Arabidopsis thaliana: one gene and its partners. The protein of the gene in region 2 interacts with the protein of the main gene of each other region in a biochemical or structural test. Each region holds a gene or a part of one and is shown on either strand. Other genes may lie near its edges.

Evidence for each region.
Region 1: the proteins of TUA1 (region 2) and AT4G14330 form a complex in vitro, tested with the Arabidopsis thaliana proteins (one study listed by BioGRID).
Region 3: of the proteins of TUA1 (region 2) and PHS1, one has a biochemical effect on the other in vitro, tested with the Arabidopsis thaliana proteins (one study listed by BioGRID).

Annotation. Positions count from the first base shown.
Region 1 is NC_003075.7:8,240,994-8,249,518, forward strand, and holds AT4G14330 (P-loop containing nucleoside triphosphate hydrolases superfamily protein), read left to right. Parts: upstream 1-3,059; 5' UTR 3,060-3,234; coding exon 3,235-3,843; intron 3,844-3,919; coding exon 3,920-4,075; intron 4,076-4,166; coding exon 4,167-4,274; intron 4,275-4,363; coding exon 4,364-4,474; intron 4,475-4,574; coding exon 4,575-5,912; intron 5,913-6,005; coding exon 6,006-6,293; 3' UTR 6,294-6,501; downstream 6,502-8,525. Other genes in the region: AT4G14315 (uncharacterized protein), read left to right, coding at 1-180; AT4G14320 (Zinc-binding ribosomal protein family protein), read right to left, coding at 848-1,032, 1,729-1,750, 1,835-1,909, 2,059-2,238, 2,810-2,812; CKI1 (casein kinase I), read right to left, coding at 7,539-7,778, 7,894-8,030, 8,295-8,358, 8,457-8,525. UniProt on the Arabidopsis thaliana protein: Probable plus end-directed motor protein that may contribute to the transport of Golgi-derived vesicles in the phragmoplast.
Region 2 is NC_003070.9:24,047,080-24,054,205, reverse strand, and holds TUA1 (alpha-1 tubulin), read right to left. Parts: upstream 4,201-7,126; 5' UTR 4,093-4,200; coding exon 3,980-4,092; intron 3,820-3,979; coding exon 3,605-3,819; intron 3,093-3,604; coding exon 2,893-3,092; intron 2,821-2,892; coding exon 2,312-2,820; intron 2,227-2,311; exon of another isoform or gene 2,226-2,226; coding exon 1,910-2,225; 3' UTR 1,719-1,909; downstream 1-1,718. Other genes in the region: DSS1(I) (deletion of SUV3 suppressor 1(I)), read left to right, coding at 494-587, 811-933, 1,289-1,419; CP5 (Polyketide cyclase/dehydrase and lipid transport superfamily protein), read left to right, coding at 5,669-5,904, 6,010-6,166, 6,243-6,419, 6,502-6,585, 6,744-6,825, 6,898-7,126. UniProt on the Arabidopsis thaliana protein: Tubulin is the major constituent of microtubules, a cylinder consisting of laterally associated linear protofilaments composed of alpha- and beta-tubulin heterodimers.
Region 3 is NC_003076.8:7,995,671-8,005,038, forward strand, and holds PHS1 (dual specificity protein phosphatase family protein), read left to right. Parts: upstream 1-2,526; 5' UTR 2,527-2,638; coding exon 2,639-2,680; exon of another isoform or gene 2,681-2,835; coding exon of another isoform or gene 2,836-2,850; coding exon 2,851-2,928; intron 2,929-3,018; coding exon 3,019-3,161; intron 3,162-3,296; coding exon 3,297-3,498; intron 3,499-3,570; coding exon 3,571-3,747; intron 3,748-3,851; coding exon 3,852-4,012; intron 4,013-4,494; coding exon 4,495-5,590; intron 5,591-5,735; coding exon 5,736-5,882; intron 5,883-5,999; coding exon 6,000-6,227; intron 6,228-6,326; coding exon 6,327-6,484; intron 6,485-6,566; coding exon 6,567-6,924; 3' UTR 6,925-7,178; downstream 7,179-9,368. Other genes in the region: AT5G23700 (coiled-coil protein), read left to right, coding at 81-256, 407-536, 614-750; AT5G23710 (DNA binding / DNA-directed RNA polymerase), read right to left, coding at 858-1,550. UniProt on the Arabidopsis thaliana protein: Probable dual specificity phosphatase that binds and dephosphorylates MPK18, modulating the organization and dynamics of cortical microtubules.

The DNA of each region.
Region 1 (8,525 bases), on a different chromosome or scaffold from region 2:
ATGGCGAATGAGTATGGATTCGGGATGGGTTCGGTTTTGGCGATTGTTGTCGTTGCACTAATGTTACTGTTTGTTCCGTTGATGATGGGACCGGTGACTGCACCATCTCTTCCAATGATCTTGATGTTTCCGGTCGTATTGCTCTTTGTGTTTCTCTATCTCCATTTTACTTCCAAGTGATCAAACATCAAATCTCTTTCTATTATTATCGTGTAATATGCAGTACGTATTTATTTCGATAGTATTGCTCTTACGTTTTTGGTTATACATTTATAAAAACAAAAATTGTATTTGTTCTATTATATACAATATATCAATTGACTAACGCATGCGCAGTTGGTTTGGATCTCTATTGATTTGCAAGTAAATTTTTTGGATTTATCTTTCTTTCTCACTTCGTTTCTTACATTATTAGAGAATTTGACTTACATCGCGATGTATGTTTTACAAGCAAGTAGAATCGATGCCACTTTCCTTAGATATTAGCGTAGTAGACAATGTCAATGATCGAGAAATATACACAAAAGTACCTAACTTTTGTCAGCATGAACAGATTTGAATGATATTACGTAATTGTAGAGAAGAAACTTACCTTAAAATTAACACCTCTAAAAGGTAAGAATGTGTTAGTAGAAAATGGCTATTCATATTGTAAAATTAAAAGGCCGTATAATTAGTACAGAGGAATTCGACTTGGAAACAGAAAATTAGAGATTAAATAAAACACGAATTTTAAATAACGGAAATAAAACTTTAGTGTAAATTATCTATACCCATAATATATATAGTACCAGAATCTAAGTATAATAAAGTAAAAAAAGAAAAACTGAAGTAGCATCCTTGACCGTCACCACATCTTCCGCCGCTGGCTGCCTGGCTCCACCACCACCACTACTACATTCACCGGTTCATTGTCAATACCACCACCAACAGGTCCTTCTCCTCTATCACCACAGCAGCCAGGACCACCACAGCAGACACAAGAGAATATCATCTCATCTACCATTTTGCCCGCACAGCTCTCAATTAAAACTAACACAAAGGCCAAAACACATAGGACTATCATGGTAATATAAAAAGAGTTGTTCATGTTCTCTTTTGTGCAATAAGGAGCCAGGAAACATGTTCTTCTATTTATATAATTTGGTTTTATTGTAACACATTAGTTTCGGGTCAGCTAATGGCATGATTATCATATAGCCAAAATAGAACCTTCATTTTCCATTCACGTTGCGGGGAATATAGAACCACCAATATACCGAGGAGAAACTTCTGTATGCTCTTAAGAAATTTAGTGAAAGTTAGTATGGCTGAAGTTAAAAGAAGAAAACAAATAATATTTAGTATTATCAATTCATTTCTATACGTATATGTCATTTTAATTTGCCAAGCTCATATATAACACTGATTTGCAGCACAAAACGATAAATGATTTTTCGAGATCCGAAAATAGAAAGTGGTTTTTAGAACTTAAAGAGTGTTATGTCTACTTTGTCGCAAGTTATAGAGAATACTCAAGGGCAGCCTAATGAAGAAAGATTGGTTAACCAAATTAAAAGACATCCATAAGACCAAGTCCTATTTAAATTAAAAACCAGGACCATTTCTGGTAGATTCAAAGTATATCACAGTATTGAAGCAGGACAGGTACCAAACAAAACAAAAAAAAGTAGATAGATGAAACAACAACTTAAAAGAGAGATGTTCCCTTTCCCTTCTTGTCTCCACCGATCTCAAAGTGCTTGCACCTCTGCAAAAACCACACACAAAGTGTAAGAAACAGAACTGAGACTAAAGAGTGATTAACAAAGGTAAAGAATGTCGCAGACATTACCTTAATCGGGCGTTGCGAGAAATGCTTGCAGCTTTGGCATTGAAGCCTCAGCACAATCTTCTTAGTTGTCTTAGCCTGTTCCAAAGAAAGACAAATAATGAGCAAGGTCCAATTAACAAATCATTCCTATAAGACATATTTCACAGAGTCAATTCTGAAATCCTAAATTGGTTCTCACATAGAAGACAGTAATTAGAGATCAAGACAAGGAAAAGCGAGTATACCTTCTTGTGGAAGACGGGCTTGGTCTGACCTCCATAACCAGATTGTTTACGATCATAACGACGCTTTCCTTGGGCAGCAAGGCTATCTTTACCTTTCTTATACTGCGTCACCTTGTGCAAGGTATGCTTCTTGCACTCCTTGTTCTTGCAGTAAGTGTTCTTAGTTTTCGGAATGTTCACCTACAGAAAACCAAGTTTAAAACTACCACAAGATACAGTTTCAACAGCATACAGAATTAATTACGATCATAGAAGTGAATCTAAATACGCCCTTCAGAACAAACCCTAAAACTTGTTAATAAAATTTCCTGCTTCTCCTAAATCATTCAGAATTAATTGCTACCATACGATCTGACTACTCAACTAGTCAATATTGATAACCATTTTGTGAATCCTACAAGTCCCTGAAGTACAAATCCTTCTTAATTCTCCTAAAAATCAGAACAGAATTGCAGCAACACAAATGAAGATACATAACACTATATCATTTTGAATCTCTGGTAGATTGGAGCTAAAACTCTTCACAGAGACGAAGTGAACTGAATCTTCGAATTTACAACACAGAATGCAACATAACAGATTCTAAAAATCACAATTAGACTCTAATAATTCTCGATTTAAGATGCAAAATCAGAAATAAACAACTTAAAGAAGAAGAAAAATCACACAGCAGATCTATAATCAATAATCTCGTTCTTCAATAGTAACCAAGGAGAAATTTAGCAGAAATAAAGAAAGAGAAGAGAGTCACCATTTTCGCTCTTCGGTGAAGCTCGTGCCGTCGTCTTCCACTGCCGCAAAACCTTTAATAAAAACCTAAAGTAACAGAGCTTATAAGAGAGACATTTGAGAAAACCCTAATACTACAAACATTGGGCCTCTATAAACACAAAAAGCCCATTAACTTAATCAAAAAGTCAGGCCCATCTCACTTCCCTTTTTTAAAAGAAAGTAAATATATTCTAGTTGCCGAAAATAAAAATTGTTAATAATCAGTGGCCCGTGGACAAAAACTAGCCGTTTAGAGATACAACACAACGGTTATGTTTGTTTCTTTGTTTCAAACTTCAAACCTCGTGAATCACTCACAAACCCTAATCCCCTTTTTCATTTTCTCTCTCTCTAACGCTCTCTGAATCTCAATTTCAATTTCACTCTTTCGAAACTTCTTCAACAATGGCACCGACACCATCTTCTTCAAGATCAAATCAAACTCAATACACCTTAATCAGAACTCCACAAACAAAACAACGTCTCAATTTCCACTCAAAAACCCCAAACCCAGACGGATCTAAAGATCCATCTCCACCGGAGCATCCAGTTGAAGTAATCGGCCGGATCCGAGATTACCCTGACCGGAAAGAGAAATCACCTTCGATCTTACAAGTCAACACAGATAATCAAACGGTACGAGTCAGAGCTGATGTTGGGTACAGAGACTTCACACTCGACGGTGTTTCTTTCTCGGAGCAAGAAGGTCTTGAAGAGTTCTACAAGAAGTTTATAGAAGAGAGGATTAAAGGAGTGAAAGTTGGGAATAAATGCACGATTATGATGTATGGACCTACTGGTGCTGGAAAGAGTCATACTATGTTTGGTTGTGGGAAAGAGCCTGGGATTGTGTATCGTTCTTTGAGAGATATATTGGGAGATTCTGATCAAGATGGTGTTACTTTTGTTCAAGTTACTGTTCTTGAGGTTTATAATGAGGAGATTTATGATCTTCTTTCGACTAATAGTAGTAACAATTTAGGTATTGGTTGGCCTAAAGGAGCAAGCACTAAGGTAAAGTTTCTTGATTGATAACTTTAGTATACATTGAATTGGCTTTAAAGGTGTGTACTTTGTTGTTTTGTTACAGGTGAGGCTTGAAGTAATGGGGAAAAAGGCGAAAAACGCAAGTTTTATTTCTGGGACAGAGGCTGGGAAGATTTCTAAAGAAATTGTCAAAGTGGAGAAACGGAGAATTGTGAAGAGTACACTTTGTAACGAAAGAAGTTCTCGGAGTCACTGCATTGTAAGAACGATCTTCTTGATTGATGTGTATGCATAGCTTTATGCAGCTTATCTCTGTTTTAACTTACTAGTGTGGTTGTTTCTTTTTGTAGATCATACTTGATGTGCCAACTGTTGGGGGAAGATTGATGCTTGTTGACATGGCTGGTTCTGAAAATATAGACCAAGCTGGGCAGACTGGATTTGAAGCTAAGATGCAAGTAATGTTTCCTCTCTCAATTTGTTTGATTCTACTAAAGTTATTGTAGTTATGGATATCAACTGACTTATATCTCTCATTATTCAACAGACTGCTAAGATCAACCAGGGAAATATTGCACTGAAGCGAGTTGTGGAATCTATAGCAAATGGAGATTCTCATGTACCCTTTAGAGACAGCAAGCTGACCATGCTTCTCCAGGTGAAATTCTTGTTCCATTGTTTTATCTTCTGGAAAATGTTTTACGTGTTGCTTGGTTTTCTTGAAGATATTTAGTGTTGTTTCTATTCTCTGAATGCAGGACTCTTTTGAAGATGACAAGTCAAAGATTCTAATGATCCTGTGTGCGAGCCCGGATCCAAAGGAAATGCACAAGACTCTCTGTACTCTAGAGTATGGGGCAAAAGCAAAGTGCATAGTTCGTGGGTCTCATACTCCAAACAAAGATAAGTATGGGGGTGATGAGTCTGCTTCTGCTGTGATTTTGGGATCAAGAATAGCTGCCATGGATGAGTTCATTATCAAACTCCAGTCTGAGAAGAAGCAAAAAGAAAAAGAAAGGAATGAGGCACAAAAGCAGCTGAAGAAGAAGGAAGAGGAAGTTGCTGCTTTAAGATCTCTTTTAACACAGAGGGAAGCTTGTGCTACCAATGAAGAGGAGATAAAAGAGAAAGTAAACGAGAGAACCCAGCTTTTGAAGTCGGAACTAGATAAGAAACTTGAAGAATGCCGAAGAATGGCTGAGGAATTTGTTGAGATGGAGAGAAGGAGAATGGAGGAAAGGATAGTTCAGCAGCAAGAGGAACTGGAGATGATGAGGAGACGGTTAGAGGAAATCGAGGTTGAGTTCCGCCGCTCAAATGGAGGAAGTGTTGATGAAACTAGTGGGTTTGCCAAAAGACTCAGGAGTCTTTACTCTGATGATGATCCTGGTATGGTGAAGTCAATGGACCTTGACATGGGTGATCCAGAACCTGTCAAGCAAGTGTGGGGAGCTGTTTCACACCAATCAAGCAACACTATTAGTAGCAACTTCACTAACCTTTTGCAACCGAAGCCTTCAGAGAATATGCTTACACAGATGTATCCTGACCGGGTATGCTTGAGCACTGTCTTTGAAGAAGAAGAAGTTGAAGAAGAGGAAGAAAAAGTGATAGTCGAGGATAAAAGCATCTGCTTGATAACAACACCAATGCCTAGTTTGAACTCTGAAGGTTTGGGTAAAGAGAACTGCTTCAACGGTGCAGATGACAAGGAATCAGCCTCGTCTAGAAGGTTGAGAATTCAAAACATTTTCACCCTTTGTGGCAATCAGAGAGAGCTGTCTCAACACAGTGGACAGGAGGAGGATCAAGCCAATATTGCATCACCTGATAAGAAAGACAATCAGTTCTTTTCTATTACGAATAAGGCCGAAGCACTAGCAGTAGAAGAAGCAAAGGAAAACAATATCTCAGTCGATCAAAGGGAAAACGGTCAGCTAGATATCTATGTTAAATGGGAAACAGCTGCTGATAACCCTCGAAAGCTCATAACAACACTGAGAGTTACAAAGGATGCAACACTAGCTGACTTGAGGAAGCTTATTGAGATCTACCTTGGATCTGATAATCAGGCTTTTACCTTTCTCAAGCTCGGGGTAATAAACTTGAACCAACAAGCACAAAAAGCTTTTCATTTTTATCTGTTTGTTATGCTCTGATCCTAAATGCAGTTATTTCAATGTATGAAGGAACCATGTGGAGCTCAAGTGGCAAAGGAGAAAGAATCAACAGTTCAAGCTACGAGCCTACCTCTCTGCAACGGACACGCATACCTCGCCACTTTGAGACCAGGAAAGAGCTCACAACATAAAAGTCTTCAACCTGCAAGCCCACTTCCACTTAATCCCATAGAAAACATGATGGAAGTTACCCCCATCTCAAAAGTGACACCGAACCATCAAGTTGATGAATTTTCATCACCCAATCTCGTAGCTCATCTCAGCTCCACTCCATTCATCACTCTCAGAAGACATTAGTCGCTATGTCTTGTTTTCTCTATTCTTCTTTTGTCTGTCCAAAGGTAGCTTTTGAAAGATGTAGCAGCCTTTGTCTATTTCTCTGTGTTGAGAAAAAAAAAACTCTTATGTACGACCACTTTTGTAGCTATATATATGTTCTACGATGTTTCAGCAGAGTGGTGTTTATCAGAACGTATAACTGGTGTTTCCCAAAGGATGCTTAGTTCTACTTATAACATATACATAAGTAGAGAGAATGCTGCAGCCACATAGAGCTACTTCTTACCTCTCTCTGTCATTGTAACATATGGACAAATTCCAAAAGCCCTATTCAATTCCAACCCCAATATCTTTATGATCATCATCATAACGTGAACACCAAAAACAAGGGCAAAAATTTCAAAGGCTCTTAAAAATAACAATATCCCGGAAGCAAAGATTACCTGCAACTGCAAGGGAAAGCCAAGCCCTATTATAGAAAAGCAACTTCATTAGTTAAGCCCTATCTCTCAATATGCTCACATGCATGCATTGACCAAATGTCTTCTTTTATCTACAGGTACTCAGTCACTTTCTTAGTTACACACTAGATTAACTCAATTCTTCTGCAACCTCATTATCTCCAAAGTAAAAGACCACTGTTATTGATGTTTTTATGGATAATATATGATGATTCATCTTTATTACATTAGCTGAATACAGAACAACAACCAATTAACTCAATTATTTTGAAAGATGTATGTAGCCTGTCTATTTCTCGGTGTTGAGAAAAAAAACGCTATGTACGACCACTTTCAGCAGTCAAAGTGAGTGACTAGAGCCATCAGCATGGAGTGTTTTTCAAGTTGTACAACAAGATTTGTCAACAAAGTCTAAAACTTTCTTTTATTCGACCATAATATGACTGACTAGGCACGTTGGTTTTCGATATACAGTTTAAAAGGTTGGAGAAGATGACTAGATGAGATAGGTTTTCATATTTTACTTCCACATCGAAGTTTTAGAGAACAGAAAGAGGAGAAAATTGAAGTACACATGAGACAAGTTACACTTTAAAGCTTTATTAACAGATTCTTTTAAAAACAGAGACTGAGAGATTGGGAGAGGCAGATTACATTAACTCTCTTTCTCTCTCTCACTTTCTCATCTTGTTCCCAAGGTTAAAAAACAATTCGAGGACATGTCTTTCCTATTTTCAGAGGAGAGAGCCATCAGCACCGAATGTTGTCTTTTCACTCTCATCAAACTTCTCCTTCCCTATCTTCATTTCCTCTTCTTTCCAGAGCCGATGGTAAGGAGCTCGAAGTTTCTAATGGCATCCTCATGCCCAGGCCTTGCTGCAGCTGCAGATTCATAGCTCTGTGGAACCCGTTGGGTTGTGGCATGACGTGAACCACTTGAAAATAGTCGGCTTGAGTGGTTCTCGCTTGGTTCAGCTGATGAGCCAGGTCTGGTGCTTGATATCACACCTCTCTTTGAGGTACTTCCATTTCGAGACTCGTGCTGCAAATGAAGCCAGCAAATCAAAACACACAAACTTTCTCATGTTCTGATTCCCTACTTATTCTGAGAATTACTTTGGATCATTACAACAAGAGAAATAACAACACAAACTAACCACTTCCTTGGCAGAAGAGGGTATATCATCAGAAGATCTGTGTCTAGAGCGATCACCAAGAGCGCCTTGGCTTGAAACATTTCGTCTGGTGAATGCCTCAATTGCACCTGTAAATCTTCCTCGCAGGTCCTGTCCGACTAAACAGAATAGGGAAAGAAGTTCTCAGTTTGAGATCTTCCACTATTCAACAATTTAATTAAATCTCTGGACACAAATTCAAAATCTTCTAAGGGAAACAACATATGAATGTTAATATCTGAAGGGTCAAGTGAGATAGTGCACGTTTTTCAGCACCCAAAATTGTCAACACTGTCTCATAAATTTACAACTTAAAATAAACTTTTTGATATATCTCTTTGTATTCGTCCCTCCAATATAAGAGACAGAGAACATCAATGTACCTGTAGGCTTTTCAGCTCTTTCTGCAGGTGGTCCTGGAGGGTCCAACGCTGGTCTTGGAGTTGGCTGTTGTAAATGATAGACACATAGCAGGATAAGATTTTGGATTATTCAATTGTTCTGAGACTTGGTTCTCCACACGTTAAATCAATAATAGAACTAACCCTTGGTCTCGAACTAGAGCCAATCTGAGGATACTTCGAGATTGTCCAATCAAACACATAATCAAGCTG
Region 2 (7,126 bases):
TGTTGAACTTAGTGAGGTTTTGTGAGCCTAATTGTTTTCTTACAGATATATATATTACAATGATTCTTTTGTCCATGTTCTTAGAAGTTGAATCCTAGATAAATCGGAATATCCAGATACTTGTTCTATCGATATTTTAATACAGTTTTACACTACAGTTTTATTTTACAAATTCATTAATGTTACAATTTCTTTTAGCAATTAAAAAATAAATAGAAAACCATCAAATTTTACAAATTCACAAAAAGGAAAACACGGTCGAACCGGTTCTATACAAAAAGAAAAAACCTTCCCTTTATTATTTGCTTCTTCTCTTAAGAAAAACAAAAGTTCGCTTACTCTCTCGTTAAAGCTCTCAGAGAGGTTAGGGTTTCATCATTATCAATTCCATGCTTTTGCAATAATAACTTGGAAAATTTTATCGAGTTTTCGTCTTCCTCTTCTTCTTCTTAGGTTATCTCGATCTGGTTGGTTCCTTTAACAATCTGTAACTATGGCGGCAGAACCGAAGGCAGCGACTGCTGAAGTAGTAAAGATGGATCTGTTTGAGGACGACGATGAGTTCGAGGAATTTGAAATTAACGAAGGTAAAATTTTTGTTGTTATTACTTGTTTCTTCTTCGATTTTTGAATCGATTCATCATCGGTTTTATAGTCTTAACGATGAAGCTACGATGCCATAGATATAAGAGCGATTTTCATTAGCAACTGATTGATAGATACAGGCAATGCTTTATATGGTTGAATTGAGAATTATTTGTATGAATTGTATCAGATTCTGATTTTAATAGATTTTGATTTGCAAGTTAGTTGATTCTTCAGATTTAACTAGTAGTTGTATTGAAAGGATTGATAAAGATGGACTAGTGTATGAGTTGAGTAGGTCTGATATGAAAACGAATCTGTTTGATGTCAATTTCAGGTGTGAGATAGGTTGATAGATCTTTTTTCATATAGTTCTAACAATGAAGCTATAGTCTCATACTTACTAAATGGATAAAAGAGCAGTTTTTTTCAGCAACTTATTGATGATTAGGTTTAGTCTTAATAGTCAACGCTTCATTTACTAAAGCCTAAAGGTTATTGAGGATTTGGGAATTATTTGAGGGCATTGAGTAGCCTAAAGGTTTAACAGATTTTGCTTTGTGATTTTACTAATAGTTTTATTGAAAGAATTGATAAAGAGGGTTTCTGTTTGTATGAGTTGTGTAGTTGGATGTGGAATGGATGTTTTTGCTGTCCTTTTACGGTCAAAGTAAATACTGATGGATCTTTTTATGTTGGGCAGATTGGTTGGAGAAAGAAGAAGTGAAGGAAGTTAGCCAGCAGTGGGAAGATGACTGGGATGATGATGATGTCAATGACGACTTCTCACGTCAGTTAAGGAAGGAGCTTGAGAATGGTACTGACAAGAAATAAGGTCGAAGATTGTGAAAGACAGGTCTTCACATTTAGGAAATCTTGGTTTTCTTTTATGATCTGGAACTTTGTTTGTACTGCATCCTTTGGTTTATGTTATCGGTTCTGCTTTTCCTTTGCACATTTTACTATTCCCTGGATGGAAATTTCTTATCTTTGAAGATGATAAATTTAAACTGGTAAGATCATCATCTTCTCTCAACATCCATTGCGGTGTGTTCCGTATGGACATGGATTAGTTACTAACTTACTATGTACATTTTCTTACAAGGATCTTTATTAGAGCGTAAACGGTATTTGAAATGCCAAAAATCCTTCAAACTATGTATTGAGATGCACTAGAAATGCAATCCTTTAGTAAACACAAATGAGAAATAAAAGGGGAGAGACCCGTAAACATCACAAAATAACTGTAGAGATCACATTCACAAAGACATAATTACTGTACTTCACAAGAAAGAAACAAGGGAACACACACTCTTGTGTCTTTCTAATACTCATCGCCTTCTTCGTCGTCGTCCTCCGCTCCTTCTCCACCAACTTCCTCATAATCTTTCTCGAGGGCAGCAAGATCCTCACGAGCCTCAGAGAACTCTCCTTCTTCCATACCCTCTCCTACATACCAATGGACAAAGGCTCTTTTGGAGTACATGAGATCAAACTTATGGTCTATACGTGAGAACACTTCAGCAACTGCAGTATTATTGCTGATCATGCAAACCGCTCGTTGAACCTTAGCCAGGTCACCACCTGGAACAACGGAAGGCGGCTGGTAGTTTATCCCGCACTTGAATCCAGTTGGGCACCTAATTTTAACATGACCAAAGATTTGAAATGTGTAGTAGAAGGAGACTTAAGAGAGAAAGAAACACTAGTAGTGTGAGCTCTTTACCAGTCAACAAACTGAATTGTTCGTTTGGCTTTGATGGCAGCAACGGCTGTATTGACATCCTTGGGCACAACGTCACCACGATACATCAAACAGCAAGCCATGTACTTGCCATGCCTAGGGTCACATTTAGCCATCATATTGGAGGGTTCAAAGACGGAAGTCGTGATCTCAGGGACCGAAAACTGCTCATGGTAGGCCTTTGCAGATGAAATCACAGGTGCATAAGAGGAGAGCATGAAGTGGATCCGAGGGTAAGGTACAAGGTTGGTCTGGAACTCGGTGATGTCCACATTGATGGCACCGTCAAATCTTAGAGAAGTTGTAAGCGAAGAGATGGTTTGGGAGATCAAGCGGTTCAAATTGGAGTATGTAGGCCTCTCAATGTCTAAAGATCTCCTGCAGATATCGTATATGGCTTCATTGTCCAAAAGAACAACAACATCTGTGTGTTCGAGAAGAGAATGAGTCGAGAGAACACTGTTATACGGCTCCACAACTGCTGTAGAAACCTGAGACCAAGAAAAGAGTTTGAACATTTTATCTTTCTGCAGTGAAGAGTTTAAGTATCTGTGGAAGGTTACCTGAGGAGAAGGGTAGATGGTGAAACCGAGTTTTGATTTTTTTCCAAAATCTACGGACAAGCGCTCCAACAGTAAAGAACCCAAACCAGAACCTGTTCCACCCCCAACAGCATTGAATACCAAAAATCCTTGTAACCCTGTGCAATTGTCTGCCAATTTCCTCAGCCTTTCAAGGCAGGTGTCAACAATTTCCCTTCCAACTGCATCAATGGAAAAATATTTCAATACCATATGAACCAGTCATGGTTAAATATGCCGTTTCTCGTCATAAGCAATGGATGAAACAGAGCCATTTTGAGCAAAGCAAATAAAGAAGACAGAGTTCTTTGTTACAATGGCAAGCAATCATTTGGACATTGATACCCTACTTGTTAGCTTATACATGAATAGTTATCTAGATATGAAGTACCCGGTATTACCACGAAAACACATGACACAATTTACAACAACCGAATAAAATTGCATTAAAGCTCACACAATTACGTTATTAAATTTTGTCTTAGCTTTGTTAGACTCTCTAGTACAAAACTCAAAACTCAGACATACATACTTAAGAATGTCCAATGTTTTGCTAGTTACCGTAAAACAAAACGAAAGAACATATGTTTTCAGTTTAAAATGGCAATGTTCGGTAACCCCTGAAGGTGGATCAATCTAGTAAGGCTAAGAAGAATACTATAAAAAAACAAGAGAGGTGGAAAATGTTAATAACCAGTGTAATGGCCTCTAGCAAAGTTATTGGCTGCATCTTCTTTGCCAGAGATAAGTTGCTCGGGATGGAAAAGCTGTCTGTAAGTGCCGGTTCTTACTTCGTCAATGACGGTTGGTTCGAGATCAAGAAACACAGCTCGAGGCACATGTTGGCCTGAGCTTGTCTCGCTAAAGAATGTGTTGAATGCATCATGACATGCACCAACAGTACTATCACTGCAAAACAAATCCAATTATTAAAAAACATGAACTTGTCAAAGTTTTTTTTATTACTACCCTAAATCATCAGAGCCATGTCAATAACAATAACAAGAACAAAAATTCGAACCCACAAACAATAAAGATGGTCATAAACTAGAGCGATGAGTATAAAGACCTGGGCATGGTGCCATCGGGTTGGATACCATGTTCGAGACAATAAAGCTCCCAACAAGAATTTCCGACCTGAATACCAGCTTGTCCGATATGAATGCTAATGATCTCCCTCATGTTCGAAAATTTCTCAGAGACTTCTTCTTCTTCTTCCTCTTTCTCTCTGTTTTCGCGAGGAAGAAGGTTGTTTTGTTGGCTCTCCCGCTTTTAGATGTGAAAGGACAAAAAGCTGGAATGGACTGGACGAACTTAAAAAGGGGCCGGCCCCGAAAAGTCTCTTCCGCTCGAAATGCCTAATTAAAGAATTCACCAATCCTGGGTCGATATTTTCTTTTTTGGATTTTAATCCATTCCATTTCTGTTTTCTTCTTTTTTCCCCCATAAAACTTTTAAAACATTTAGTTAAAAAAAAAACTTTTAAATTTTCCAATTGAAATCATCCTGTTAAATAAAGTATAATTTTTAAAATCAGTAACTCATAACATTGTATCACATGTAAAGTTTATTTATTCTTTCGTCCCCTTCCACATATCTCAAATCTTAAATATTTTTTTAAACATTTTCTATAAAAAAATTAACTTGTGTCAAAAAAAATGAAACATTTCTAAAATAAAATAAAAAATACTCATTTTCTCGTTCATTTATTTTCTCATCCCCTTCCACATATCTCAAATCTCAAATATTATTTTTTTGTTTAGTTTTAAGTTTTTTTTTTATTGTTGTCGTAGTATGAGTTTAAAAATATCATTGTAAAAGCTTAGTTCTAAATTTTAATTTTAGACTATGAAATTTACATTGTTTTTTTGGTTTTTTTTTTTGTTTTAAAATAAATCTGCACTGTCTATTTTTAATTACATCTTATATATAGTAATTCTCTCATCATCTTCCACTATATTCATGTATATATATATATATATATATCTTATATTGTTATATGGGTTGAAAATCAAAGAATTCATCATGGTAAGAATTTGGTTCTAAATTTATTTTGGAAAGTATGGCATATAGCTATCATTGTTTCTAATTTTTATTTTATTTCTAACACCATACAAGATTATATTTATTTTTTAATTTAGATACTTTTAATTTTAATTTACATATGTAAAAAGTTAAAGTTTTTTTATTTTATTTGCTAATCTTTTTATACTTTCAATTAAAGAGTTTTTAGAAAAAGAATCTATGTAACCACGATTATATGACCAATTATATACAAAATCTATTCTAATGCTATATTTTTAAGTTATGAAATATGCTTAGTTTTGCAAAAGATCTTTTTTAATTAATAAAAGGTTTTTTTTTATAAAGACTTTAATCTTAAAAATTTTAAATGGTAGCAGCAAATATAATAGCAAAACAGAAAAGAAAAAAAGAAGGGGGAGGGAGGGATGCGGCGACCACAGAATCGAAACGAGTGGAGACAGGCAGTAATAAACACTTTGGTCTTTTTTTTATCCACTTATTAAAGAAATGGGTAATGGTAGTCGTGTATAAAATTGAGAGAGAGGTGTGTATAGAAACGAGAGGCGAAGATTGCATCGAACGCCGAAATTGGGCCTACAGTAATCCCAAATTCTAATCCTTATCCTCTTCTCTCTCGTTTTTATTCTCCTTCTTCTTCAATCTCTTGGTCTCCTCGACTCCTCCCAGCGCTTCAATATCTCCCAAGACCCAACCATCGGAGGGAGGGGGCGAGATGATGGGATTGAGTTCCTTGGTCTTTACCGAGTTTCACAGCCTCGGCTTCTCTGACCTTATAGTTTTTGTTGCGCCACTCTGGATTGCTGTGGCTGCCGGTGTTTTGGTTGGTTGGGTTTGGAGGCCCAAGTGGGCTTATCTCGATTCTAAACTCTTGTCCAATTCACCTAAATTCCTCAATCTTCAGCTTCCCACTTCCATCCTCAAAACTTCTTCTCACCACGTTAACCCCAGGTAAGGTTGAGATGATTTCATTGATGTAACCCGTTTCCCCACTTGTCTCTCTTTCTTTCTTACTCTTCTGCTAAATAAATAACTCTGCTTCTCTTTGGGTCGCAGCCTTTCTTCCAAAGAGAAAACTGGGTTTGTAACGGACGATGATTTTAGGCATCTATGGAAGTTGGTTGAGGTCAAAGATGGCGGTCCTTGTTGGATTCAAATGATGGACCGATCAACCCCAACCTTCTCATATCAAGCTTGGAGGCGAGATCCTGAGGTACCCCCCTCCCTCCTTCCTTTAAGTTTAGTTTAACATGTTCCTCCAAGTTGAATCATTTTTTGTATGATGCCAGAATGGGCCTCCCCAGTACCGTAGCAGAACTGTGTTTGAGGATGCCACTCCCGAGATGGTCAGGGACTTCTTTTGGGATGATGAGTTCCGTTCCAAGTGGGATGATATGCTTTTGTATTCTTCTACTCTCGAGCGTTGCAAGGACACGGGCACTATGGTTGTGCAATGGGTGCGAAAGGTCGCTACTTGTTTCTCTTTTTTCTTCGTTCTGTTTGCTTCTTCTCCCTTCTCTTTACTCATATCTTCCGCTACTGTTGCAGTTCCCCTTCTTTTGTAGCGACAGGGAGTATATTATAGGCCGTCGTATATGGGATGCTGGCCGAGTCTTTTACTGCATTACTAAGGTATTCCATTCTTTCGCTGCTAGTAACCAAGCAAATATCCAACTTATTCTTCTAGTGCGAGCTATTAAACATGTGTTCTTCTTGTGAATATTGTCTTTTAAATTCACTCTTTTTATTCATGTGTTTATAGTAAGTATGCTCCTTTGTATTTGCATCAGGGAGTACAATACCCGTCTGTACCTAGACAAAACAAGCCAAGGCGAGTCGACTTGTACTATTCAAGCTGGTGTATCCGTGCAGGTACTACTAAGCAAGTTGTCTCTGTTATTTAAGTGTTGTTTAGTTTCTCAAATGGATATTACCATGGTGTAGTTGAATCAAAAAGAGGCGATGGTGAGATGACATCATGTGAGGTACTACTATTTCACCATGAAGATATGGGAATACCGTGGGAGATTGCAAAGCTTGGGGTGAGACAGGGTATGTGGGGTGCAGTCAAGAAGATTGAGCCAGGCCTACGTGCATATCAGAGGGCTAAAGCAGCGGGAGCAGGTTTATCCCCGAGTGCCATAATGGCTCACATCAACACCAAAGTGAGTGC
Region 3 (9,368 bases), on a different chromosome or scaffold from region 2:
CATCAATTAGTACAGTGTCAAATATAGTCTGTTTTTACTAGTCATCGAGATCAATAGTCTGTTTTCTCCATATCTTACAGATTCCAAAGGGCATGGAGAACTCAGTTTTGTAGAATCATACGGTAAGAGAAGAGAGTCCAAACATGCACAATATATCATATCAGCAGTCAAACTTGATGAAATCCTTACTATGTTATCACATTTCTCAAATGCAGAGATAAAAGAAGGGGAACAAGAAGATGTTGCCTTTAAGCAGGTAGTTTCTTTATGCCTATAATTTCATAACTATAAGGTTATAATGTGACATTTTGTTACAAGAGATGGTAATTATTGGTATATTGTGGTTGGTAACTAAATTTATCGCGATGAATCTTGATGAACCGACGTTATTTGGTTATAAATGCAGGCATGGCTTATGTACTTCTGGGGTAGAGCCAAGTTGCATAGTGTGGAAGAAGACATTGCAGATGAACGTTTCCAGTTTTGGACCAGTCGTAGTGAAGGAAAATCTCCGACTTCACAAGATGCCGTTGACGGTAATAAACTTCTTCAATTGATTTCCCCTGTGTCCTAATTCTAGTTTTAATAACACATTAACTTGTTCTCTTTACAGTGGAACGAGGTTTGTTAGAGCTAAGGAAACTAGGAGTAGAGCAACAATTATGGGAAGCTTGTCGCAAAGAAACAGATCAGCTTCTTCCATCTTCTTCTCCGACATCTACTCTTTCAAATCACAACCTTGACTCTTAATTTAAAGATATCAATAGCATTATTCTCTATTGTATAACCGAAAAAACAAATCATCATAATCTAAAATCTTAAGTTTTAAACCCAAAAAAAAAAAAAAAAAGAGAGTGCTAAAAGTCTAACCATTTCTGAAAATAAACACATGTAGTGGGAGAGATAACACCATCAGGTGAACAGATCGCTATATGCGGACAAACCCCGCAAGGAATCGAAGCAAAAGCTCCAGCTCTCGGTTCGCCATTACCGAACTTTTTCCCGGTCAACCTGTAGCAAACTTCTCCGATTCTCGTAGAAGCAAACTCATTCATTCCATTACTCTTCACCTCCATGATCAAATTATCCAAAATCAAGTTCTTAAGTATCTCCTTAGTCTGATCAACACTCAGCTTCTCCTCTTTAACAAAATACCCACACAAAACCTCCAAAGTAACAACCCTCTGCCTATGCCTCTCCAAAATCATCACACACTTGGCTTTCAAATCTTCGATTTTCGACAGGTCAAGAGCTCCATCAGTGTACCATTCACCACCAGTAAGTTCACTACAAGGCTCAAACTCCATTGCAAGATAATGTTTGACACCTTTGTTGTTCATGTTTGCTACTTCTTTGATGAGATTCTTCTTCCGTAGAGAAGCGATCAATCGAGTAACTATAGTTGCTGGGATCGTTTTCTCGCGTTTCAATTCGAACATAGTTGCGCCTCTTCCTTGGTTTATTCGAATCAGATCCAGAAGCTTCTTCTCGTGTGGCTCGTTTAGATCACCTCCCGATGATTTCGGATCCGGACGTTTTCGTTTACTCATTCTTACAAATTCACCAAACTGCAAAAATCAATCGGAATTGTGACACGGTAATTGAGAGAATTCGTGTGATTTACGAAAAGGATTGATCTATACTATAAGAAGGTGATAAAATCGATGATTCTGAGATTACAAAGGATTTTGGTGAAGATTCAGATTCAATTTACCTGGAGATTGGTTTACTGGAGATGAACAATCCGATGAATATAGAGGCTTTAGGAGAGTTCAGAGAACGGAGAAGTCGTCCGTGACTGGAACGGATACGAAAACCCTAGGTCTGCTTTTAGCTAAATATATAAGACAGAGAAGAAAGTCAAATATATTAGTGTGGGCCTAAACTAATACACAACAAAAGGTAACTCGAAGTGGATTGGTACATATTGTTCAGGATTTTTGTTAATTCAATATGAGATTTCGCTATACAAGTTGGTTTAGATAAAAACATGTAGATTAAAAATATTTATTTTTAAAAAATTCAATTTATTTTTTAAAAATAGAAATAATTATAAAGTATTAAAATAATATATAATTTGCATAAAATTTTGAAAATAATTTATATTGTAAAACAAAAAATTTGGTCCAAAACAATTTATATTGTAAAACAAAGAAAGTATATATTTTTGATTTTTTACTAATATTTATGCTTATTAATTTTCAGAAATAAGTTGACAAAAAAATTCTATAAATATTTTATTTTATTAGACTGAACTTTTTCAGATTAAACCATAAACTTTAGTGAATATTTTTTAAAATCTAAAACCATTTTTGTATAAATGTTGTTGATTTCGACCGAAATAGTTTCATACAAAATATAGTTTTAAATAATAACACAAAACGGAAATAAAATAAAATTAGAAGACAGTTCTGTAAATAATAATATGTTTATTTTTTTAAATCTTGAATAATGAGAATAAAATGATCAGAGTCTTTATTACAATAATAAATTTATGAAATTAAATATCCGTCTTCTTTCTTCGTCCGACAAGTTCATATTAATTAAAGATACCTTGAGACTTTCCTCTTCTCAGATACAAAGCTGACATTTGAAGAAAAAGACATTTCTAAAATTAAACAGAACCTAAGCTTTTGCAATGGCGGAACCTGAGAAGAAGCGAGATCAACCATTTTCTCAAGTAATCATCCTTCATTTTTCCCCCACAAATTTAATAATCTATCATTATCACCCCCACCTTTTGCGTTCATCATTACCCCCACATTTATCTCTCCCTCTTTTCGCAGAGCCAGATTTTGATTTTGATTTTTTCCCCTTTTTCTCTGATCTGATATTATGGTGCTATCGCAGGAAAAAGACGAAGAGAAAGATCTATACCTTGTTCACGACGAGCACGAGTCTCCTCTTCCTCTCACCGTCACTTCTCGTGTAAATTTCTCCGATCCTAAATTCGTTTTAGGTTTTAGGGTTATATTAATAGTCTCGTCTTAAAAATTGGAAGACTTTTGGAATTTGCAGGTTTTGTACATGTTAGGAGATATAGCATCTGGTCCAGCTTATAGGTTTACTCAATGGTTGGATTTAGTTCGTAAACGAAGTGCTACTTACGGATCCTCTGGCTTCCCTCACCGCCTTCACCGCATCGATGATATGGTCACTAGGTTAACACTTTCTCTGACTTTTTGTCAAGTACTTGGTTTGTTGATTATGATTTTGGAATCTTATGAGTATATCAGAACAAAGGTTTCTAAATTAGGATATTAGTCTTCATGTCAGTTGATACAAGTATTATCCAGTGCAGGAGAGAGGAATACTGATCCTAAAAGTCCACCAAGTAGGCAGAGTTCAGAGATTAGTTTGTGGGAAAGGCTTGGTAAAGCTTCTACTGTGGATATTGATTCGAGCTGTTTTTCATGGAATATGTTGTCTTCACTTCATCATACTGAACATAGTAGTAGCACTGATCATTCTGAAGAAGACCAGAGTAAACCACTTGAGGTATATATATCATTATGATCTTGGACTGGTGATGCTAGGAGGATCTTTTGACACTATTAGATGTCTGTACAGGTTACTGTGAATTCTGGAGGAGTTGTTTTCTTTGCCCTGTTCAATAGTTCCAGCTCTGAAGATGCCTCTCGTAAGGAAGAAGCAGCAGTTATTAAATTTGCATCATCGAGGATGGCCACGCAATCAGAACGTCTAGGTTATGAGTTTTCCAAGTGGCTAGGGGTGCAGATTCCGCAGGTGCTTCTTTTCTTTCTTGTAGTTTTTTAAAAATGTAGTAATGGTTTTGCTCATTTCACTTTCTTTCTAGAATTTTCAAGTAATGAGTAATCATCATGCGACAGGCTAGAGTAATTCACAGCTGTAATCCTGAGTGGACACTGATCAAAGAAGCCACTGAAAAAGCACAAGCTAAAGCGACTTCGGAGGGGGACGAGGTTGGTGAAATGACATGTTCAGAACTTCTGGAAGCCCTTGAGCTCAGCCGTTGTCTTCTCTTAATGAGGTGAAAGCACAAGATTCATCTTTATTCTTTATCACTTTTCTCCATTTTTTACTTGGACCAGCAGCATAATGTTGACAGTTTTTTTGTTCCTTTGCATTAGTGTTTAACTAGATGATAGTAAACCATTTGAAATATGAATATACCATTTGATAATATATTTTAAGAAAAATAAAAGATGTTATGTTATTAGATATAAAAATTGTATTATAAAATAAGAAAGATCTAAATTACAAATATGAGGTGGAATTATTTTATTGGATAAAATTTGATAACAACAGTTAAACAGAAATCTAATCTTGCTTTAAATGATAATAAATATGAGAGAAATAGCTGAACAGAAATCTAGTCTTACCTAATAGGATTATGTAAAATCTAGTCTTACCTAATAGGATCATGTAGGCACTTTCAAATTTACAATTTTTAATGTGATGTTTGTATAGAACCCCTCTTCTTAGCCCAGGATTCTCTATATGTGATTACAGTTATGTTCATGGATGTCCAATGCTGGAGAGCATGAGTAGTTTTGAAACTGAAGAAAAAGCAGAGAGAGCTGCTGCAGCTCTAGGGAGAATCTTGGTGTTAGATCTAGTAATTAGGAATGAAGACAGATTACCGTGTCGTCAGCTGAGATGGCGTGGCAACCCGGCAAATCTGTTACTGACAGACAGAATTGTGTCTTCTGCAAAGCATCATGAATGTTCATTTGATGAAGCTTTTGATTCCGCCATCAAACGGTACCATCCAAAGGACTATAGATCCATTCAAAGGGAAAGAAGAGCTTCTTCCGTAGATAGCAGATCCAGGTTGAGTATCAGTGATCAAATGTTGGTCTCACAGGCTTCTGATTTTTCTGATATAACGGAATCACCTAGATCATATGATACTGGTTTAATGAGTCCAATGTCTGATAGATCAGTAGCTGCCGATTTTCACCTCGTTGCCATAGACTCGGGTGTTCCACGGCGGCCTCCTGCTGGAAAACGGGCAAGCGACCAAGAAATTTATCCAAGATTAGTTGAGTTACTCCTCAATAGTAGCCAATATTCTTCGAATTTGTTACATGAAATAACAGAAGGAAGTTTAGGATATCCACAGGCAGAAGATGGTGAAGAAACATCTAATGTTCGATCTGTAGTAACACCAGTTGTACGCGAGTTTCGAAATGGTTTCCGAGCTGGTCTCAGGGATTTGCAAGAGTTTCACATCTTCCTTGTCACCCTTCATCAGAAATTAGATGTGTTGCTTCGGGCATTTTTTAGTATGATGGACAAAACAATGTGTGCAGATTTTGACAGAGAAGACTTTGCTGTTCCTGAGTCACCTTCACATACTCATGGGCATGAGGTGAATCATTATCCATCTCCCTCAAAAGATCGGGTGCCTAGTGATAACAGCTCTGATCACAGTGAGTCAGATATGCAAAAATCAGTTCCTAGGACACCAAATTCAGAAAACAAAGAAGACGGGTCTTCGCCTAAGTCACGTGAAAGTTGGCACGGAAGATCCGGTAAAGGTGGAGAATCTCTTAGCAGTCAGCGTTTGGCAGCAAAGCTCCGTGACTTCCATAAGTTTGCAAAGGTTTGTCGCTTCGAGCTTTGATCACTATGTTCTAATTTGTAAAGTAGGTTCAGATTTTTTATAAAAAAAAAAGTTTGTCTTCTTGGATGGAAGTTCTCAGCCATTTTCTCTTTCTTCACTCTCAATATTTTCATGGTGCGTCCAGGTTGATGCTGAGTCTAATAAAGAACTAGACCAGTGGAATGAAACACTGCGGAATGAAGTGATGAAACTTTGCCAAGAGAACGGTTTCAACACTGGTTTTTTTGAGGGCAGTGATAATAACAGTTGCACAGATGCTTATGAGCTAAAGGTATCATGAAGTTTTATTATTTCCTTTTATCCTGAATATGATCTTCATTATATAATATAGTTTTTGGCAACTGAACTCAAACATTGTCTCTCTTGTTTGCATTCTCCTTGATAACAGGTTAGACTTGAGCATATTCTTGAGAGGATATCATTGATTAGCAAAGCTGCTAATACAGAGAAACCATCAATGATACAAGAAAATCTTTTTATCGGGGGAGGATTGGCTGCAAGGTCGATTTACACTCTTCAGCATTTAGGTATAACTCATGTTCTATGTTTGTGCGCTAATGAAATCGGGCAATCGGATACTCAATACCCGGATCTCTTCGAGTACCAAAACTTCTCAGTAAGTGAACCTGTCTTATATGTCTCTTAAAAGGAATTGGTAAAAAAAAATGCATCTATAAAGATGATCGTTTTCTTCTTGTGTCTTCCCTTTGACCAGATAACCGATGATGAAGACTCAAATATCGAGAGCATCTTTCAAGAAGCTCTCGATTTCATCAAGCATGGCGAAGAAACTGGTGGCAAGATTTTAGTTCATTGCTTCGAAGGTCGGAGTAGAAGCGCAACAGTAGTGCTTGCTTACCTAATGCTCCAAAAGTAAGTTGTTGGGGACAAATAAAATTTGTTGGAAATTTTCAATACTTGTTCTCATTTGTTTACTGGTGGGAACAATAAATAGGAAGCTCACACTTTTAGAAGCATGGAGCAAACTGAGGAAAGTTCATAGACGAGCTCAACCGAATGATGGATTTGCGCGGATCTTAATAAACCTCGACAAGAAATGTCACGGGAAAGTATCAATGGAGTGGAGACAGAGGAAACCGACAATGAAAGTGTGTCCGGTTTGTGGAAAGAACGCAGGTCTAAGCAGCAGTTCTTTGAAGCTTCATCTCCAGAAATCTCACAGGAAACTGTCTTCGGGAAGTGTTGACAGTGCAATGAACATGGAGATTCAAAAGGCTTTGGAGGCTCTTAAACTCAGCACTGGCCGTGGCTCAAGTGCTAGTTCCAATTCTTTCCAATCTCATCCTGGTTAGAGAGTCCGGTTTGGTTTTATCTATGGTTTGTCCCGGTTAAAGTCTCTCTAATCGTACATCTCTGAACAAAAACATTGATCTGTTTTGTTTTGTTTTTTACTGTAACGATCTTTGTACTTGTATACGCAAGTAAATAAAAAGCCGAAAAGCTGAATAGAAGTCACTGGGAAACGTCATAATAAGCTAATGTAACATTTGTAACTCTTTTTCCCTTGTGCTTTGTGTTAAGAAAGTAAGATTTGGCCCAAAAATGTCATAAAACTAAAAAATTGATTGCGTAATCAAACAAAAGTTCCCTTTCATTTTCGATATAATAAACTAAAAAAATTTGACATTCTTTCCGGCGTGCACATTGATGAAAGTGAACTCTTGTTAACTTTCATTTGTGACTTGTATGGAGTACAAGACGTGCGTGATGTGCCAGACGACGGAGAAAGATGAAGGAATCATGAGGTGGTATATGTATGAAGAATGGCTATGGAAAGCAGACAAAGTAAAAATTGATTGAAATATTGGGGAACATAAATGCAAATCTAATTTGATGTTAAATCTATGTGGGAAATCTGATAACGGTGGATCGTCTTTGTGGACCAACTTGGTGTTAGCTTTTTTTCCAACTACTTATTAATTTATCCATTCCTTTGTTAATGACTAGTCTCTCCTTTAAGTCATCCTTTAAGTTGCTTTTGTATCTCCACTTTATTCTCTGCCTTCTTTTTCATGGGAAAGTTGCACATCAGAAGCACCAATGAACTTGTAATGAACTCCTTCAAAAAAATTTCTGATATTATATCTTAAGCGATGTCCTCTCTCCTACATTTTTGTTTGTTTATTGTTTACCAATTTCTTGAATAACAAGTTAATTTGTTTCTTCAAAAAGTGTAGAAGCCCACTTTTGTAACGGACGTTAAGATTGCGCTTTAGTTGGTGAAATTTTATATGTTAGGTAGTTCACGTATTTTGTTGTTTGGAGAAATATTAATAAATGGCATTAAATGGAAATCGAATCCATTCTTTGAAGCAGTGTGGGTCCAAACATGGAGCACAAGTGTTATAAAAGACTTGAGGCTGAGAAGTAACGAAGAGACATGAAAAAGAGGACAATGACCAAAGGTGGTACATAACACACGTATGACTCGTCCTTACTTTGCTGTCCACAAAATTCTCTCATAAAACTAAAACCTACCACCGATTTTTTCTCCTCTCTCTCTCTCTCTCAAAATCTGCCCCGGCTCTTCTTTATCGGACGCGTAGTATCAATATCGATATTTTAACCCCGTGATCTATGCTTATCTTTTCTTGGTTATATGGTTATAGAGAACCGTTATCTGTTTTTGATACCTGTAAATAATATAATAGAAATGCTTCTTAGACCCGACATTCGTAAATAATATAATATCGAGAATCAAATAAGTTACATGATTCGGATTTTCATTAGGAATTGGACAACTATCGAGAATGGTTATGGCATATTTATACATGTTGACCACTTATTTGTGAGTGGTTATTATCCCGGATATAAAATGATCATCTAAGTGAAAATTTTTGAATCCGTCCAAACATTTCTACTATTGATCCGAATGACAAAATCAAGATAAACTAGTACTCCCTCTATTCATAATAGTTTGATGTTTTGGATTTTGACGCTTATTAAGAACTCAATTATTGTTTAATCATTTTAACATTTTTCTTAGTGTTATAAGACAATAAAAATAAAGAAAAATGCTAGAAAATCAATTTTTATGAAACAAAAAACAAAAGCTAGAGCATCAAACTTTTAGGAACATATGGAGTATTTGGTATCAAACGATTTCGTCTATACGATATGGCAATTTTAAGCGTATATGTCTCTTTCTAGCTTTGAAAGTTGATTTGATATAGAAGAAAATTGACTATTCTGTAAAATAAAAAGATTGTATAAGTGCATTGAAGCCATGAAGGCTATAATTTATTTATATTTTTTTTGGTGAATCAAGCAATTGAAAGTAACCAGATAGGAAAATGCTACGTCTTTTTCAATCACATCGTCGAAAGTTGTACATTTTCTAACAACAACAAAGTAATTCAAATCAAATCCTAAATGCCTACTACGATTGTAAAACTAAACAACAACAAAGTAAGTTAAAATTCAAACGTTGATAAGAAACTATTTACTTTGTTAGTTTTGGTGTAGGAAAAAGTAAGTGGTACAAATAGACGTTTTGTTTTTGGTTTTTAATGTTTCGGTGTTACCATTACGATCATCTCATCATTGTAATTTACGAACAACCTCAATCTAATGGTCAGTGAAGATTTATTGTGATAGTAGTCGAAATGTTACTATCTTTTTTATTCAACATTTAGTTAACGTCCTTTCGCCTACTACAAGTCAATCAATTTAATACAAGAATTTGCCATGTTTGGCTATATAAGTAGCCACGACAACAAACTTCACACTTTCTTGC